2 linked regions of the Tamandua tetradactyla genome follow. The protein of the gene in region 2 purifies or fractionates together with the protein of the main gene of each other region. This does not show direct contact. Links are inferred from orthologs where the notes say so. Each region holds a gene or a part of one and is shown on either strand. Other genes may lie near its edges.

The links.
Region 1: the proteins of SCLT1 (region 2) and KIZ purify together in Homo sapiens (co-immunoprecipitation; 3 studies listed by BioGRID and IntAct, counting the BioPlex papers as one, with this or other methods). This does not show direct contact. The link is inferred for Tamandua tetradactyla from reciprocal best matches to the Homo sapiens genes SCLT1 and KIZ.

Annotation. Positions count from the first base shown.
Region 1 is NC_135327.1:39,084,615-39,092,504, forward strand, and holds the start of KIZ (centrosomal protein kizuna), read right to left. Parts: upstream 3,366-7,890; 5' UTR 3,261-3,365; coding exon 3,172-3,260; intron 1-3,171. UniProt on the Homo sapiens protein: Centrosomal protein required for establishing a robust mitotic centrosome architecture that can endure the forces that converge on the centrosomes during spindle formation. Required for stabilizing the expanded pericentriolar material around the centriole.
Region 2 is NC_135348.1:39,195,549-39,204,117, reverse strand, and holds the start of SCLT1 (sodium channel and clathrin linker 1), read right to left. Parts: upstream 3,529-8,569; 5' UTR 3,071-3,528; coding exon 3,037-3,070; intron 1-3,036. UniProt on the Homo sapiens protein: Adapter protein that links SCN10A to clathrin. Regulates SCN10A channel activity, possibly by promoting channel internalization.

The sequences.
Region 1 (7,890 bases), on a different chromosome or scaffold from region 2:
TCTAGCACTTATTTCTCTCTGTTCACTTTTCAACAGTTTTATTCATACATTATATAATCCAACCTAAGTGTACAGACATGCCTTCGCCACCCTAATCTATCTGAAGACACTTCCTTTTCTTCCACAAAGAATCCATACCCCTTCCCCATGCCCTCTGCATCTGCTTTAAATTTAAGACTTAAATCCAGATATTTAACCCAATCAAAGCAAGAAAAAGGCTTACCAGAAAGATCAACTTGAAATTCCTACCTACTAAATCTCTATTTCAGAATCTCTGAAACCCCCAGCCATGGGATGCTTACCCATTATCCCTGATTTCAGTCACCTGTACCCCTTACCGGCCCTTTGAAATTTTACATGGCTGGGAAGTTGTTAAAGCACAGCCACGTGGCTCAGTTTTCTCCTTTTAAGCCACCTATCAATCTCTTTTTTTGTCTCAGAACCTCAATCTCCATCATGCTCAACCTTTATTCAACTAACATCTCAGTGTCAATTTCTGAACTATTATGATATCTCACCCTGAATCAATATTGGCATTGAAAATACTGGGGCTGGCTAATGGGCCTTTTAAAAGGATGTTTTTATGTAATTCTAAGAGTCAATTCCACTTATATGTTTCTAGCATGCTTGTGGCACTATATACACTGTAACAAGTCACTCCATTAGGCTATTTTAGGTTCAATTATTGACTTTCAAGACAATGTAGGAAAACATATACAAAGGAAAAAAATTCAGCAAGACTTGATTATAACTTGGGCTAGACATAATCCAGTTATAAAGAAAAGGCCCCAGTTATCAGACCAGCTAACACTGCAATGACCCATCTCTAAAAGGGCCAATTAAAGGTGAGTTTATTTTTTAATACCCTACTCCCCAACAATTTCTGGATTGATAAAGCTGCTGTGACTGCAGCCTTTGAAATAATTCTGGAATTTTAGGAGATAATGAATTTTAGGAGATATAGGTCCCGATAGGCACTGGGTTGGTTAAAACTACAAGAAAAAAAGTGCATCCAAACCCTCAACTAGATACAGAAAACGATGTTCTTTACTTGTTGCTTTTCAAACTCTTTTACTTTGAGGCCTATTACTCGAGGAGAGGGGGAAAAATCTGTAGTCTTACTTTACACATTAGTCAAGCCCCCTCATTTATGGTGAAAAAGTAAGGTTCAGTAGGGTCGAATGGCCTGCTCAAGGTCACACAAATGTTCATGTACTAGAACCCAAGTTTCTGCGTTTCTACTGCAGCTTTCTCTGTTATCTAAAGCTATTCACCTCTATGCTTGTTAACTGTGCATTAATCAGTTAGTTATGAATTCTTAAAATGAAAAATGAACACACACAGCGACATTTGTACTGACTAAAACAAACGTCCAAATGCAGAAATGTTAATTGGCTATAAAATTTGACTCCTGATAATTTCAACAGTGTCACCTTGCTTAATAGTTAAAGCAGTAAGTGTTAAACATAAAGTGAGTCATCATTACACAGTTATTATACCATAAGGACTATAAACAGCCAGGTGTTCCCAGTACAGGAAGCAAAAACAGTAACTCACAATTAACTCAGTTCAAAAACAATGCATTTACACCAGTAATATTTTAAAATTAGGGCTCGGCTAAAAAGGGTAAATAACTAAAGGCTGGGGGTAACAAAGCTACTCTTCTAACAAAACAGATGCTGAGCCAAAAAGCATGTTAAGCATACTGAAGCACAAAGCAATGTCTTGCCTTACAATTATCAAGAATGTGTAGAAAATTAATAAAGTCTTTGAATCTATCACACTATCCAGTTGTCTTGGTTGACTGGAAAATGATCATTATTTCATGATAATGTGCGGCTACTGGGTTCTATACAAGACCTTCCTAACTTCTGGACACTAGCCTGCTGACTCTGGGATTTCTTCCATTTATATGAAAAACATTTATCAAGCACCTCTTTCACCTCAGATACTCTAATCCCAGCTAAGGTGCCAATTGGTTATGGCTCCTGCCCTCCTAGAATTCTCAGTTTAGACTGGGAGCATGTGACTTACGCAGTCACCAAAGGTGCTAAAGAATGTTGAGGTCAGAACAATTGGGACAGGTGAGGTTCTGCAGGAAGAGATTTTTTTTTTTTTTTAAGTTAGTGGTGAAGAGGTCACTGAAGCGGGTGAGAAAATATGTCAGAGGTAAAAATAGCATGTAGGAAAGAATTAAGGAGTAAAATATAGTGAGGACAATTACAGAGGCTTTTTGTCAGTGCTTATAAATATTTAACAAGAATTAGCTCTAACATAAGATTCATTTTATTCCTTTTCAGAACCACGTACTTCTACTTTACCTTACACATAATTATCATTTTAGAACTGTCACAGACACATCTTTCTTGTTCACTAGAATGATTGTTTCATAACTTTTAACACTCATCAAGCGTTCTGTTTAACAAGAGATCCAAAAATCTATTTCTTGCCTTACCAATTAATGAGATTTTTCGACTCCAATTAATTTAGCAGCTAAATAAGAGTTCCAATAACTCATCTATCATGTGGTTATTTATGGTTAATTGCTTCATAATTCTCTCCCTTACTGTACTTTTAGATCTACCTGTTTTCAGGGGTTCCCATCTTTCATGTCCTTATCAAAGAAGTCCTCTGGATGCTGGCCTTTTCCACTGGAAATTTCGTCCTTCTAATGGAAATCTGGCGAGCCGCCTCCTCCCCCCAAAAAAGTCTCCTGCATTTCAGCAGGGCATATGTTTATGCAAACACCACACACTCACGCTCCCACCTGCATTTCTGAGCCTGTCATCGTCGATGCAGTGCAGCTGTCAGGGTGGGATGACAATTTGAAGAGACACTGGGGAGAAGCCGTGCAGAGGGGACTACAGAAATTCACAAGGCTTGAAGGAGAGTGACAGGCAGGAGGACTCGCACTCTCACGGACAAATTCAGTGCCACGGGCCATTCTCAAGCGGAAGAGGGGCTTCCGTTGCTGTTAACGGTCTTCACTTCCAATGCAGGGGGTGACTCTGACAAACTTTGTCTTCCAGGCCCCAGTGGGCGCTTGGGGGCGTCGCGGGCAGACCCGACCCCGCGCAACCACAGACCGGGATAGTGGGGAGGAGGGCACCCAGAAGACACTCCGCGCAGGTTGAGACACCGCCCCCGCCCCCGTCCCCCGACTGGCCGTACCTGTCCCGCAGCCCGTGCTGGAGGCGGCCCAACTTCTCGTAGTAGTCCGGGCTGACCAGGGGCGCGGACGGTGCGGAGGCCTGACGCATGGCGCCCACTTCGCGTGGCCTGTGGCAGCCAGATGACCTGGGTTGTCCGAGGCGACGGACCCACCATGCACCGCGAGTAAACACGACGCGGAGACGCCGTGCAGTGGGCGGGGCGCAGGCCGTGGAGGGGCGGGGCGGGGGCCTTGCAGAGGTGGGCCCGTGCCAGGGAGGGGCGGAGGCTGTGCAGGGGGCGGGGCGCAGGCCTTGGAGAGGACGCGGTTGGGTCGTGTGGGGGGCGGGGCCTCGTTGAGGGGCGGGCCGGCCGGTTCCTAGGGGACCCGAGGCTCCAGGAGGGGCGGGGCGGACTGCCGGGTGGCGGCCTGGGCGGCCTGGAGACCAGCCTGTCCCTTCCACTGACCCTTCGCAGTTCGCAAGAGAGACTTTCTGAAGGCTAAGCCTTTCTTGTCCGGCGACAGTCAGAAGCCGGCCCTCGATCTCCTTGGGTGGAGGATGGGGGCTGGCGGGAACAATTAACTTGATTAGTTTGGTCTTTGGCATCCAGTTGCATCGATTTTACAGGGTGCATTCTCTCCCTCCCTCCCGCCTTCTCAGGGCTTGCGGAGTGCCACGCACTGCGCTTAGCTTATTCGCCTAAGCAAATTAAAGGCAAATTTAATTGCACTTAAAGGCAAAACAAAACACCAGAAAAAAAAAAAAAAAAAGACAAAACACCAAAATACTGAACAGATGTGCTCAGCTCTCACAGCACAAGCCTTTCCTTGAAGATCCGTACTGTCCCGAAGCACGTGGAACTAAAAGAAGGGGCCTTCCAAGGCAGGGTAATGCTGCAGGTGACATCGCAGATGGGTGGAAAGGGAAAAGTTGCTTCCGATGGTCGGATGGACCATGTACCAACGTCCGTAACAGGGACTCTGGAGCCACGCTGCCGGGCTAAACTCCCCTCTTCCTCCAACCAGCTGTGTGACCTTTTCCAACTCTCCAACCTTCATGAAACCAGGTTTGCTCAGATGTAAAGTGAGGAGGCTACTACTGAGGACCCAGCCATGTCGTTATAGGATTAGATTAGTCGGTGTGGGTATGGTGTCTATACGGGGAGCCAGCACTTAGTATCAGCTTTAACCATCATCATCACTGTGGGAAATGCCTCCTGAAGAAAAACAACCATATTCCAAAATCCACAAGACAGAAGCAAAAGAAACTAAAACATTTATTTAGTCACTTATTCTCCACTCCTTTGGGTTTCTTTTGTCAGCTATTAATTTCACCAAAAGCTGAAAGGTGTGACTGAAACCAGTAAACTGGTGGTTAGTAAGAGATTTGGAAGACTCTCAGGTCAACAATATAAAATTATAATGCCCCTCAGCCTTCCCTTCTCATTTGCCAGGCCCACGACAAGAGTACAAATGGAGGCCCTCATAGGGTCTGTCTAAATGTTAAAAAGTTATAAATCAAGATAAGATCTTCATGAAATATGTTCTCTCTTCCTACCTTGGCTAATTGCCTTCACAACAACTGACTCCATTCCCAGCCCAGCTGGTCATTTCCCAGCCAGGCTGTCCTGAACTATTAGGGTCCTCACTCACAGGCTGGGATGCACATGGACCCTTCCCCCTGTCTACAAGTCCCAGCTCTGTCTGCACCCCCACTGCAGCCGTCCCTTGGCATGAGGCCCTGTGGATGAGCATGCCAAGTTGATGGTCACTCTTGCGATGAAGGGCCCTTGAAAAATCTCTCAAGGCTTTGAAAAGGAGCTGGGGCCCATCTGAACAGGGGATGTCAGCTTTCTGGGTATACAGAGTATGTTCTAAAAGTGGCAGGGCAAAGAGGGGCCAGAAAGGGTCTAAGCATGGTACTGATGTTACTTTTATTTAGTGTGTTCTATCAAATCGTTATACCAAATTGATTCAGTGGTAGTGTAGAAAGATTTATCGGTTTTAGCACATTTTACTACAACCCTGGCCAAAAAAAAATGTTACACATTTAGCATGTTTTGTTTAGGTCCACCTCCACTCAGATTAGTTTTTTAAGGGGAAAAATGCTCCCAAACAATTAATATAACTAATTATTTTCAGCCAATAGCACAGAGTAAGCATTCAGCATCCCAAATTTTTATTGGGCCATTTTAGGAGAGCCTAAAACTTAAATTTAATTAAACAGTAAATAGAAAATTCAAAATAATTGTAATTTGCATTCTATTGTTGATTCATTAGTGACATATGCCATCTAGATGCAAGACCCTCTTTATTAACAATAGCACATAGCAAGCAAAATGAATATTTCTAGAGTATTTATGCTAAAATTATGCATTCTAAATGGTTCCAGACTTTCAATAAATTCAAGGTTCTTCACTTAGAGTATTTAATTAGCTGGAGCACTCTTCCTTAATATTTTTAAATTCCTTTATATTAGCAGAGCTGATTTCTATAAGAAGCTCTGCTTTTAGTTATTCTTGGACTGTGGGTCATCGAGAATCTGCCTAGATGGCAGATTCCTTGTAAATCATAGAATGTCTTAGCTAGAAGTTAGAGGGAGTCTAACTCATTTTAGAAAGGAGGGAAAAAGTTCATGGCAGGTAAGGCACTTGGGCAAAGTCTCACAGCTTGTATTCTATGTAATATTAATGAATCTAGTTCAAAACATGGGCCCCTAATAATCCCATTAAGCAAACACCAAGGAAAAGCCCGTGTCTCTGACCAGTAGTCACATAGATCCTAGGGTAAGCCCATATGAAAGTGCTGTTTTTGTACTTGAATCAATGAATGGAAAATTGATTTTGAAAATACATGGAAAATTGATTTTGAAAATACATTTCAAAATGTAAACAGTATAATTTTAAAATGAAATCTTGTATATTTGAGTAGATTATTATTTGGATGTGAACATGGAAAAGTATTTTATTTTGCAATCACTATGCAGCAGTATTAGCCTTTGCATCTTGTACTAGAAGAAAATTCAGTTTGAAAGTAGATATGAATCAAACATACAAAGTATGGGAAATGCTATAAAGCTGTGATATCACATGTATGTGTGTGTGTGTAACCCTTCCTGCCACTGAACACGGATACTCTTCTAAACATTTATTGCCTCATTGAAACATTGCAAACATAAGCTTCTTGCCCAAATGTGTTTTTGTCAAGCTAGTGGTAGCCTTTGGATTCAAACACAGTCCTGTTCTGGTTCAAAAACCTACATGCTCTTATCCTCCATTCTACATGGCCTTGAAACTCGATGTTTGAGACTGTGAAAATGAAATGGTTAATAGCTTCACTAATCAACTTGATATGCTTGCTTCCTCTTTATCCAGGGAACTACAAAGAAGAAACAGAGAACAACTGAGTCAGGCTGACATACCAATAATCCTTCACGGTGCTTACTAAGGCCTCTGCTCTTGCAGAAAAGAAGCATGCTCTCGCCATGCTGACGCCAGCAAACTTGCTTATCTCCGCTAGATAACCTTGCTGCTGCAAAGACATCCTGCCTGTCCAAGTTACAAAATTAGTGAAACATGGCCCAAGGACATCCTGCCCCAAGCAACTCCCATAGCTCACTCTCCCTTGCTCCACCTCTCCATTCCCATCCCTCTCTTTGTTCCTAGAAGCCATATATACTGCCTTCCCAGAACTTGCCTTTTGAGCAGTAACCTTTTAATGCTGTTCTGCATTAATACTGCTTTAGTTCAATAAACTTCTTCTATACTTTGGTTTTCAGAGTCTGTTTTGATCAAAACAACACCTACTGATATTTTTTATTTTCCTTGTAAGAAATGTGTAAAATATATACAGGGATGGGTTTTACATATAAATGTTTCATTGTTTGGGAAATAATGCATTTGCATAGGATGCATTTTTCTACATGCTGTGCCACACTATTCGTTTGAGTTTCCTCCTTAGCACTCAGAAGAGCTACGTTTTCCGTCCTTTCTAGCAGTAGGTGGGTCCAAATGACTAAGTTCCGGCCAACGAAATGTGAGTAGAATAGACACTTCCAGGCCTGACCCCCAAAACATCCTGCAGTCTCTTCCACAGCCTTTGCTAGTTGGCCAGCTGGGTGCAGAGAATCCAGTGGCGAATTCTGGGGCCCTAGAAGAAGAGTGAAGGACTGCAAAGAGTACTGGGTACTCTTGTAAGAAATAAACCTTTATTGTGTCAAGATACTGATATTCTGAGGTTGTTTCAGCACTGGCTCTGTTTATCCTGACTAATAACAAGCAACCCATGCCGAGATTATATAGATGTATTAACACATCTTTCCACAAAATTCTTGATAAGGATTTATGTGACTGTCCAGGTGGTAAGAAAGACTGCAAACCTGGAACTTTGAGATTAAGAGTTGATGCCCAAGAAGAGAGAATTACATAATGAAGTCAGGGCTATAGTGAAGAACTATCTAGAGCAGGCTCTGTCCAACATGACTTCATGTAGTGATGAGAATGTTTTAGGCTGTGCTATTCAATGGTAGCTAGTAGTGTGGCTACTGAGCAACCGAATGTGGCTGGTGCAACTGAAGAATTGAATTCCTAACCTTGATTTTAATGAAAATTGAAATTTACAAGGTAACTTATAGCTATTGCATTGGACAGTGTAGATGTTGACATAAAATGGAAAGATGGATAAACAGGGTCATAAGTCACTGGAAAGTGAAAAGACAGGAACCAGAAGGTAAAATGCCA
Region 2 (8,569 bases):
TTACAGCTGAAACAGTAATGAGCAAAAAGGCAAGGTCACATGGGGCTGCCAGTTGAGAAGTATCAAAACAAACTGTCTTGCGCTGGGTCACTAAATCCAAATGCAACAAATGAAAAGAAGGCAATCAAGATCAGTAGAAGTAAATGCAGAGATTGTCAAAGATAGTGGGAGGAAGGCAAGTCATCTATATTTATCTGAGCTGGTATTCAGGTAGTTCACCTTAGGGGTAAGATAGGTCCAGTGAAAAGAAAAAAAGGGAGGTTTATAGACACCTGACATTCATTCTCATTTCTTCATGCAAACTTTATCATTCCATGAATAAGCACTATGTTTTTAAGCATCTGAGCCTGTTCCGCTTTTGCTCCCTTTGTCTGAGATTCCATTCTCCCACTTGTTTTCTAGTGTAAAACCACACATTTTTTCAAGAAGTAATTTACTATGCTTTGCCTGTCTCATTTGATTCTCTCTAGCATTTGGACCACAATTTTACCTAAGTATTCTGGCTGGCTCATTCCTTTAAAACTCATAGTTTTTGACTGCCTGAGGTACTCTGCTTACCCCTTCCAATTCTTTTGTCCCACACCACTCTGATGGTGGCCTCAGGGGATAAGGGATCTTCCCACCTCAAACTGATACTGATACTATTCTAGAGTCATTATTGTATTATCAATAATTTTAGGTACTATATACAGTTCACTTAATACGTGCAAGACATCACACTAAGTGCTTTATTTGTAAAAATCTTTTTTAATTCTCACAACACATGGTGTTATTATTCCCATTTTGTAAATGAGAAAACTGAGACACAAAGAAGCCAAGTAATCTGGCCCTCAGTCAAAGACCTAAAAAGAGGTAGAGCTGAGATGTGGATCCAGGCAGACTGAATCTAAAGGCTGAGTTCTTGTTTTTTATAAATATTTTTACTGAGAAATCTTTACACATACACACAGTTCATACATAGTATACAATCAATGGCTCACAATACCTTCACTAGTTGTGTGTTCATCACCATGATCACTTTTAGAACATTTGCATCACTCCAGAAAAAGAAATAAAAAGAAAACACTCATACATCTCATACTCTTTACCCCTCCCTCTCACTGACCACTAGTGTATCAATCTACTCAGTTTTTTGCCCTTTATGCCCTCTATTATTTATTTTTTAGCCTTATTTTTAAACTCATCATACGTTGGATAAAAGGAGCATTAGACACAAGGTTTTCACAATCACACAGTCACACTGTAAAAGCTACATCATTATACAATCACTTGCAAGAATCAAGACTACTCGAACACAGCTCAACAGTTTCAGGTACTTCCCTCCTGCCCCAACACACTATACACTAAAAAGGGATATCTATATACTGCATACGAATAACTTCCAGGATAACCTCTCAACTCTGTTTGAAAACTCTCAGCCACTGTGACTTTATTTTGTCTCATTTTTCTCTTCCCCCTTTTGGTCACGTAGGCTTTCTCAATCCCTTAGTGCTGGGTCCTGGCTTATTCCAGGCCTTCTGTCCCATGCTGCCAGGGAGATTTACCTCTGGGAGTCATGTCCCACACAGTGGGAGGAGGGTAGTGAGTTTACCTGCCTGGTGGGCTTAGAGAGAGAGGGCACATCTGAGCAACAACAGAGGTTCTCTGGGGGTGACTCTTAAACATAATTTTAAGTAGGCTCAGCTTCTCCTTTGCAGGAATACATTTCATAGGGATGAGCCCCAAGATCAAGGGCTTAGCCTATTGAACTGGTTGTCCCTACTGCTTGGGAGGAATTCCCCAGATGGGGAAGTTGAACATTTACTCCTTTCTCCCCAGTCCCCCAAGAGGACTTTCAAAGGTTGAGTTCTTAACCATTGGTCTATAATGACTCTAAAATGAAATTTAACATTTTTCTTCTACCTTGTCTGTGGCTCAAGCCAAAGACCTGAGTTGCCCTCTACCTCTTTATCTCAAATCCCCTGATCTCCAATCTCACTTTGCTTATTTTAGTTCTGTTTTACCTGGATGATTAAATAGTCACTTAGGTACTCTATGCCATTATGCATGTTTCTTTTCAAAGAATGGGTTTTTCAAATAACAACTTGATCAGGTCACTCTCAACTTAATTCCTTTCAGTGGTTCCCGCAATCTGTGCAATGGTCCAAACCCCATAACACATACCAACAAGGCTCTTTAGTACCTAGCCCCACTCCACCCCTTCAGCAACACCTGCCATTCCCTTACATAAACCTCCATACTCTAGTCAAGTCATCCTCCTTGCATGCCTTTAACCAAGCATATTCCTAATGCCCTGATATTGCGAACACTGTTCTATTTGGGCTGTCTTACACAGTTCTTTATCTAGAAAATTCGTATTAGTAACTTAAGTTTCACCTCAAATGGAAACTTTCCTGACCACAGTTTATAACAACCCTTTAACAGTAAAAGGTAGGGCAGTGTCTAGCACTCACTATGTGTCAGGCACTATTCTAAATTCTTTACATATTTTAATGCTCATTTAATCATTCCAACAACCCAATTCGGAAGCTGAGACAAAAGTGTTTTCAATTGCTGCCACTTCAGTGTCTTGATGGGGTTTACCTGTTTCCTTTCCCAAATTAAATTCTTAGAGGGCAGAACTGTCCTCTTTAAGTCTGTAGCAGCTACGTTACAAATAACAGAAGCAGGAAAAGCTCAATAAACATCTTTCGAATGAATGGCCAGAGCAGCCTCCAGATTCTAACTGCACACTTGGACACCGTTCCTGGCCGCTGGCCTTCTAATTTCTTCCGAGCACGCCGAAAGCATAACAAACGTCTACTGACTAGTGGAGTCTCCTGCAAGCTCAAGAAACCTACAAGTATTTACCGAACTGTCATGCTCAAGTACACACATATTCTTAACGTATGCCACTAAGCTTTCTCCGAGGCTAACTTCTTTAGGTTTTTACAAATTTCCACGTACCAAACAAGCAGCCAGAAAAATCAGCTGGCCAACGAGGACGACATTAAACATGACACAGACGAATTCTCAAGAAAGGAACATGGATCTTACTTTGATCTCTCAGAAAGTCGATTTCTGTGGCCATTTCGATCCTATTTTCGTTAGAAGTTTGCACCACCGTGGTCTCCCTCCGAAAGGCACAGCTGGCTGGGCGAGCAAACAAAAACTAAGGCAACGCTCCAGAGGTCGTTAAGCGCTGAGCGGCGTGATCAGCATCCTCCTCACGCGCGTCCACCGCGCCTCCTCCGCCCGACTCCCGGCCGAGTCCCTCGCCCCGGCGCCAGACTTCAGACTTCAGGTTTGCAGGGGCCGCGCCGAGAATCCCGCCGGGGAGGGAAGGGGACGCGGGCCGCTACCGGCGTCCTGCGGCTCACCCGCCGACCTATCGGGCCGCCGAGCCCCGCGCCTAGGGAAACGGCGGGGCAGCCTGGTGGCGGCGTCCTCCGCGGTGCGCGGGGCGACACCAGAACTGCCGGGCAGCCCGGGGCCAGCCGCAGAAGTCCACTCGGCCCGCCCAGCGACTTTGAAACCGGTGCCCTGGGCCGCTCCTTGGAGACGATGACGCCGCCTTCGTCATCACGCGGGCGTAAGCGCTGACGACATCGCGCTTCCGAGAGTCCTCGCATGCCATTGGCTGGCTGTCAAGCGATGGGCGGGGCCGTGAGAACCGGGAGGACGGTGGGCTGAGCCGGCGCTAGGGCTGGTGTTTTCGTGTGCCCGGGCCTGGCGGTGTTTCTGTTTTGCTTTAAGAAAACTCCAAAGCTGTAAAGATGGGTAGTGCATTAGACACAGATTGTTAAGGCCCCCGGTGTCTTTGGGTTACTCGGATGCAATGCGGGGTGTGTGGAAAGGATAAAGGTTCCTGCGGCTGGGGGCGGAATCCAGCGTCCCCGACCCCAGCTGACCCTCTGGAAGACTCCGGGGTATGAATTTGGCATTCTCCAAGAGCTAAGAGCTGGCCTGCAAAAATCTCCCCGTACAGGGATTTTGGAGGGAGGAGATAGTTCTTGTTTACGCATTTAACTGTGCGGGTAGTAAGGCATGAAGTTATAGAGATGTTCGAAAGAGTCTTCAAATTTAGCATTTATTTCTTTTGAGATACGTTTGCAGCCTCACAATGAAGGAAGGAGAAAAGTTGCATTTTTTTGCAAGAAAAAAATAAGGTAAAAATTTGCGTTTCTTGGTAGATTAAATCCCCATTTGTATAAAACGATTCTGTCTGAATTTAAACTTCATGGGTTTCTTTTTTAACAGTTTACATCGCAGGAAGCAATAAAAGCCTGACTTGAAGCTAGCCACTAACTTCCCTGCTTTTTAATCAATTATGCATTTAATTTAATTTATTTTTATGGATTGAATTAAAGTTTCACTAATCAGACATGTCATAGATGCAGCTTGATTTCGCTTTTTTTTGACACAGAATGATTTGACTTTTTTGTTTGGTTTTGTTTCTTGTACTCATAATACTATATAATCGAAGTAATACTAGCAAAAGGTATTAAGAAATGAAAAGAATGTGTCCAATTGTATCCAATTGGTAGGTATTTGAAGACCTGTTGTGAGATTTATCCATACTCCCCGTAAGAGAACGAGATGGTCCCTTCCCCTAAGAATAGCAGTTAAATATGGAAGTGTTGTTAGTAACCATCAAAAGGTTTAATTTAGTTTTGATCAGAGAAGGATGAACTTGACCTGGTCTTTAGTGGCCATGAAATTAACACACAAACTTATTGGGAGAAAAAAATTAAGAAGGCAAATTCCAACTCTTTTTTTTAAATCCAGTATATTACTTTCTTCATTAGTCTTTCACTGCCTCCCACAACGACTTGCTTGTACTTTTTTCCTACATTGGACTGAATCTTGTATATTGTCATATTGTGATTTTAACTGTGCTCTCTCTGCCCTGTGTCTGTCTAGCTTTAGAAGGTGTTCTCTTATTTGTTAATTCAATGAACAGATTGTGTTTGAGGTTATGTTGGGACCTCCAAATAGAAATGTTTTTAGGCGTTTGGAAATGTGAAATTGTAGTTCAGCTGGGCAATAATAAGTTATTTTTTCCCACAATAAGTACATAATTATGATCTTGCCTGATGACCTTTTGACAAATTAAAACATATTTTCATACTCAGAAAGAAGAGATATTACTTAAATTTAATCTGAGTGGAAATCAGTGGCAACTTCATAGCAATCATTTACAAATAAGTTGATGAGATATATTCTACATTTACAAGTAAATTGAAAAGATGTATCGGTGTGGGTGAAAACAAAGACTACCTTCTAGATATAAATGTTTTGCATTACACAAATTGACTATCTGAAATTGGAATTTTTATGTCTACACTTGAATAATTTGCCTTGGATGATCATGGTCAATACAAGCCATAGTTTTTTGCGTATGCTTACAATTTTACTCGTTGAATTTTAGAATTTTCAAAATAATTTTCATCATTAGGAAACAAAATCATTATGAGTCCATTTATACTTAAAGTATCCCCTCTAGTGTTTCTCTTTTTTAAAATTTCCCGAGTTTTCCACCCACTTCCTCCAAGATGGTTTCTCCCTTAGTATTTACTTCATGCTCCTTCCTGCAGTCATCATATTGTTTGATAGTTTATCTCTAGGCACTGTCACGGTACCTGGAACACAATAAGGGTTCCATAAATATCTGATGAAAGAATTAAAGACTTCAGTGACTGTGCATGGAAAGTATATATTAGTATAAATTGAGTACAAAGAACAAGAAGTTTAATATTCGAGCCACTGTTTCATGTTTTTATATTAAATATTTTTCTGCAAAAAAGACAACCGTTAAAAATTGATATGTTTTACTAATATTAATTTAGTCAAAAAACTGACATGCACTACCAGTACTATGTGCAAAGCATCACCACAAATACAAAGTTCAACGTTTATGGCACGGTCAAACTGCATTAACTTTTTCTAATATAATGAAAGCTCTTAAAAGTGATTCTATAAAACAAAAACAACTGTTCTGGTAAACTAACAAACCGAAAATCTATTTTTCCCCAACAAAGTTTTAAAAATAATGTTAGAATGCATTTAAACTGAACCATGTGAAATTGCCAATTTTCTGCAATTTTATTTGGTTTAGCTTAATATTTACCTGAAAATATTTGTATAATGGCAACAAACCAGTGTAATATCTGCTCTTGCAGATTGAGAGAAAATGATAATGACTTCAGTTGAGCATGTGGAATATGCACATTGTTTTCAGGGTAGTTCAGATGCAGTGACTCATTACTGACTAAAACCCACTGATCCTATAAACAGTTTGGTAGCTCTCAGCAACCAAAATCCAGTGATTCTGTTACTTGGAAGTATCATAGTTCTGTAACTTATCACCTTTTCTTAAGAAGTTGAAAACTTTATACAAGATAATGTTATGAATTTTTTTCTAATCCTGTACAGAAACAAAATAATTTCACATTGTCTTGGGTGAAAGACACAAAATGAAGGCACAGAAACTGACAAATGCTGAAACTGCTGGAACAGTTAAGATTGAATAAACAAGAATCATATGTTTTATCTCTAAAGTACTTAACCATATTTTATGATTTCAAGGGTCGGTTAGACTATCCTGTCCAATAGTCGAGTTTTCTATAAATAAAACTACTTCAGAAATATGTAGTTTTAATTATTTGAACAGAAGGGTATTTTCTTTAGAAAAATCAATATACTTTAATAATGATAATAGCTAATCTTTACTAAATACGCTGTTCTAAATGCTTTGTATATATTAATTCATTTCGTCCTCTTAAGAAACTAGGTAGTATTTTAAAACCATTTTTTGAGTAACTTGCTGATATTTACACAGCTAGAAGTTGCCTGAATTGAGATTTATATATCCCGTTAGTCTTTAGTTTCATTAAATGAATTATGCTGAAATGTTCCATTATAATCTTAATAATTTACAGTAGATCTACAAATTGTTACACAGTGTATTGCTGTTACACTTCCTGCTCTTTGGAGAGAACTACTCAAACTTTGGAAGAATGATTAAAAGTCTTCATACGTTCATGGTTGTCTGCCTAGAAAAACCAGGGCATTGTTTCAGTCGTACTCAGCGAGTGGGCGGGGCCCCTGCCTGAGGCCTCTCTCGGGTGGGCGGGGCTCCTGCCTGAGGCCTCTCTCGGGTGGGCGGGGCCCCTGCTTGAGGCCTCTCTCGGGTGGGCGGGGCCCCTGGCCGAGACCTCTCCCGGGTGGGCGGGGCCCATGGCCGTACCGTTTCCTGGGTGGGCGGGGCCCTGGCCCGAACCCTCTCCGGGATGGGCGGGATCCTGGCCCGAGACCTCTCTCGGGTGGGCGGGGCGCCTGGCCGAGACTTCCCCGGGGTGGGCGAGGCCCCGGGCTTAGCCCTCTGCAGTGACCTCGGCGCCAGCATCCCGCGCGTCTGGACTGAGGAGAGCTTCCCGGTCTGTGTTCTCGTCTTATGTCCTCTTTACTGTGTCATACCTTATATTTTTGCCCAATCTTGCTAATATCGCTTTCTTTGGCATTTTAGTTCTCTCTTGCTGATTCGGTTCCTGTGTTCCCACTTGGAGCCTGACTTCTTGTATCTCGGTTTCTCGGTTAAGTGCGGAAGAGGGTATGCAATCTGAAGAGAATAACCGTTAGTAAAAGAAAAATTTGTGAATAGATGAATTTGAAGGTTTTCCTTGCCAAATGCTCTGTTGAGAAGACACCTTTTTCATAACTTCCTTCTTTTAACTTTTGTAGATTTTTTTCCCTCTCCTCGTCTCTTAAGAAAAGAAGGTTCCGTCTCCTTTTTCTTCATTTCCTTCCAAATTCTTTCCATAGTGCAATTTAAAACAATGAAAGAGATTTAAATTCCTTTTTATAATGAAACTTAATTTGAAGAATAGAGATTAAAATGTTAAAAAACAACAACAAAAAAAAACTGATTAACGTTAAACATTCTTTTAAGAATGCTTAATGCCAGATGGAAATTGCACAGTAGGATGATAATATCATTTTGCCTTTTAAGAAATGTTCAGACACTGTAAAAAACAGAAGCACGAATGAGAATCTAATTTAAATCAAATTGATTTAAGATTTACTAATTGAATTGGGTTTTTAAAAATTTTTTAATAAGAAATCTTCATATACATACAGTCCATCCACATTATACAATCAGTGGCTCCCAATATCATCACATAGTTTTGTATTCATCACCATGATCATTTTTTTGAAAATTTGCATCACACCAGAAAAAAGAAAAAAAAAACTCGCATATCCCATATCCACGAATTGTAAATTTCAATTGTATAATTCTGGTAGGAAAAAGAATGCAAATTTTCAATATTCATGAGGAAAATTATTTACCTAATACTTAATGAGGTAATGCTATAATTATTTTAGAGTGGTTGTTAAAATTTTGAGGACTGTGGATACCTATGAGTATCTGATGAAAGCATGCTTCCCAGAGAAAAATACACATATACAATAATTTCTATAAAATTTTAAGGTCATAAATAACTATAAATACAAGTATCTTAGAGTGACATTTAGGAGTTTGCCCTTAGCCACTCCTTAGATAGTAAAAGTAGTGAATGTTTAATAAACG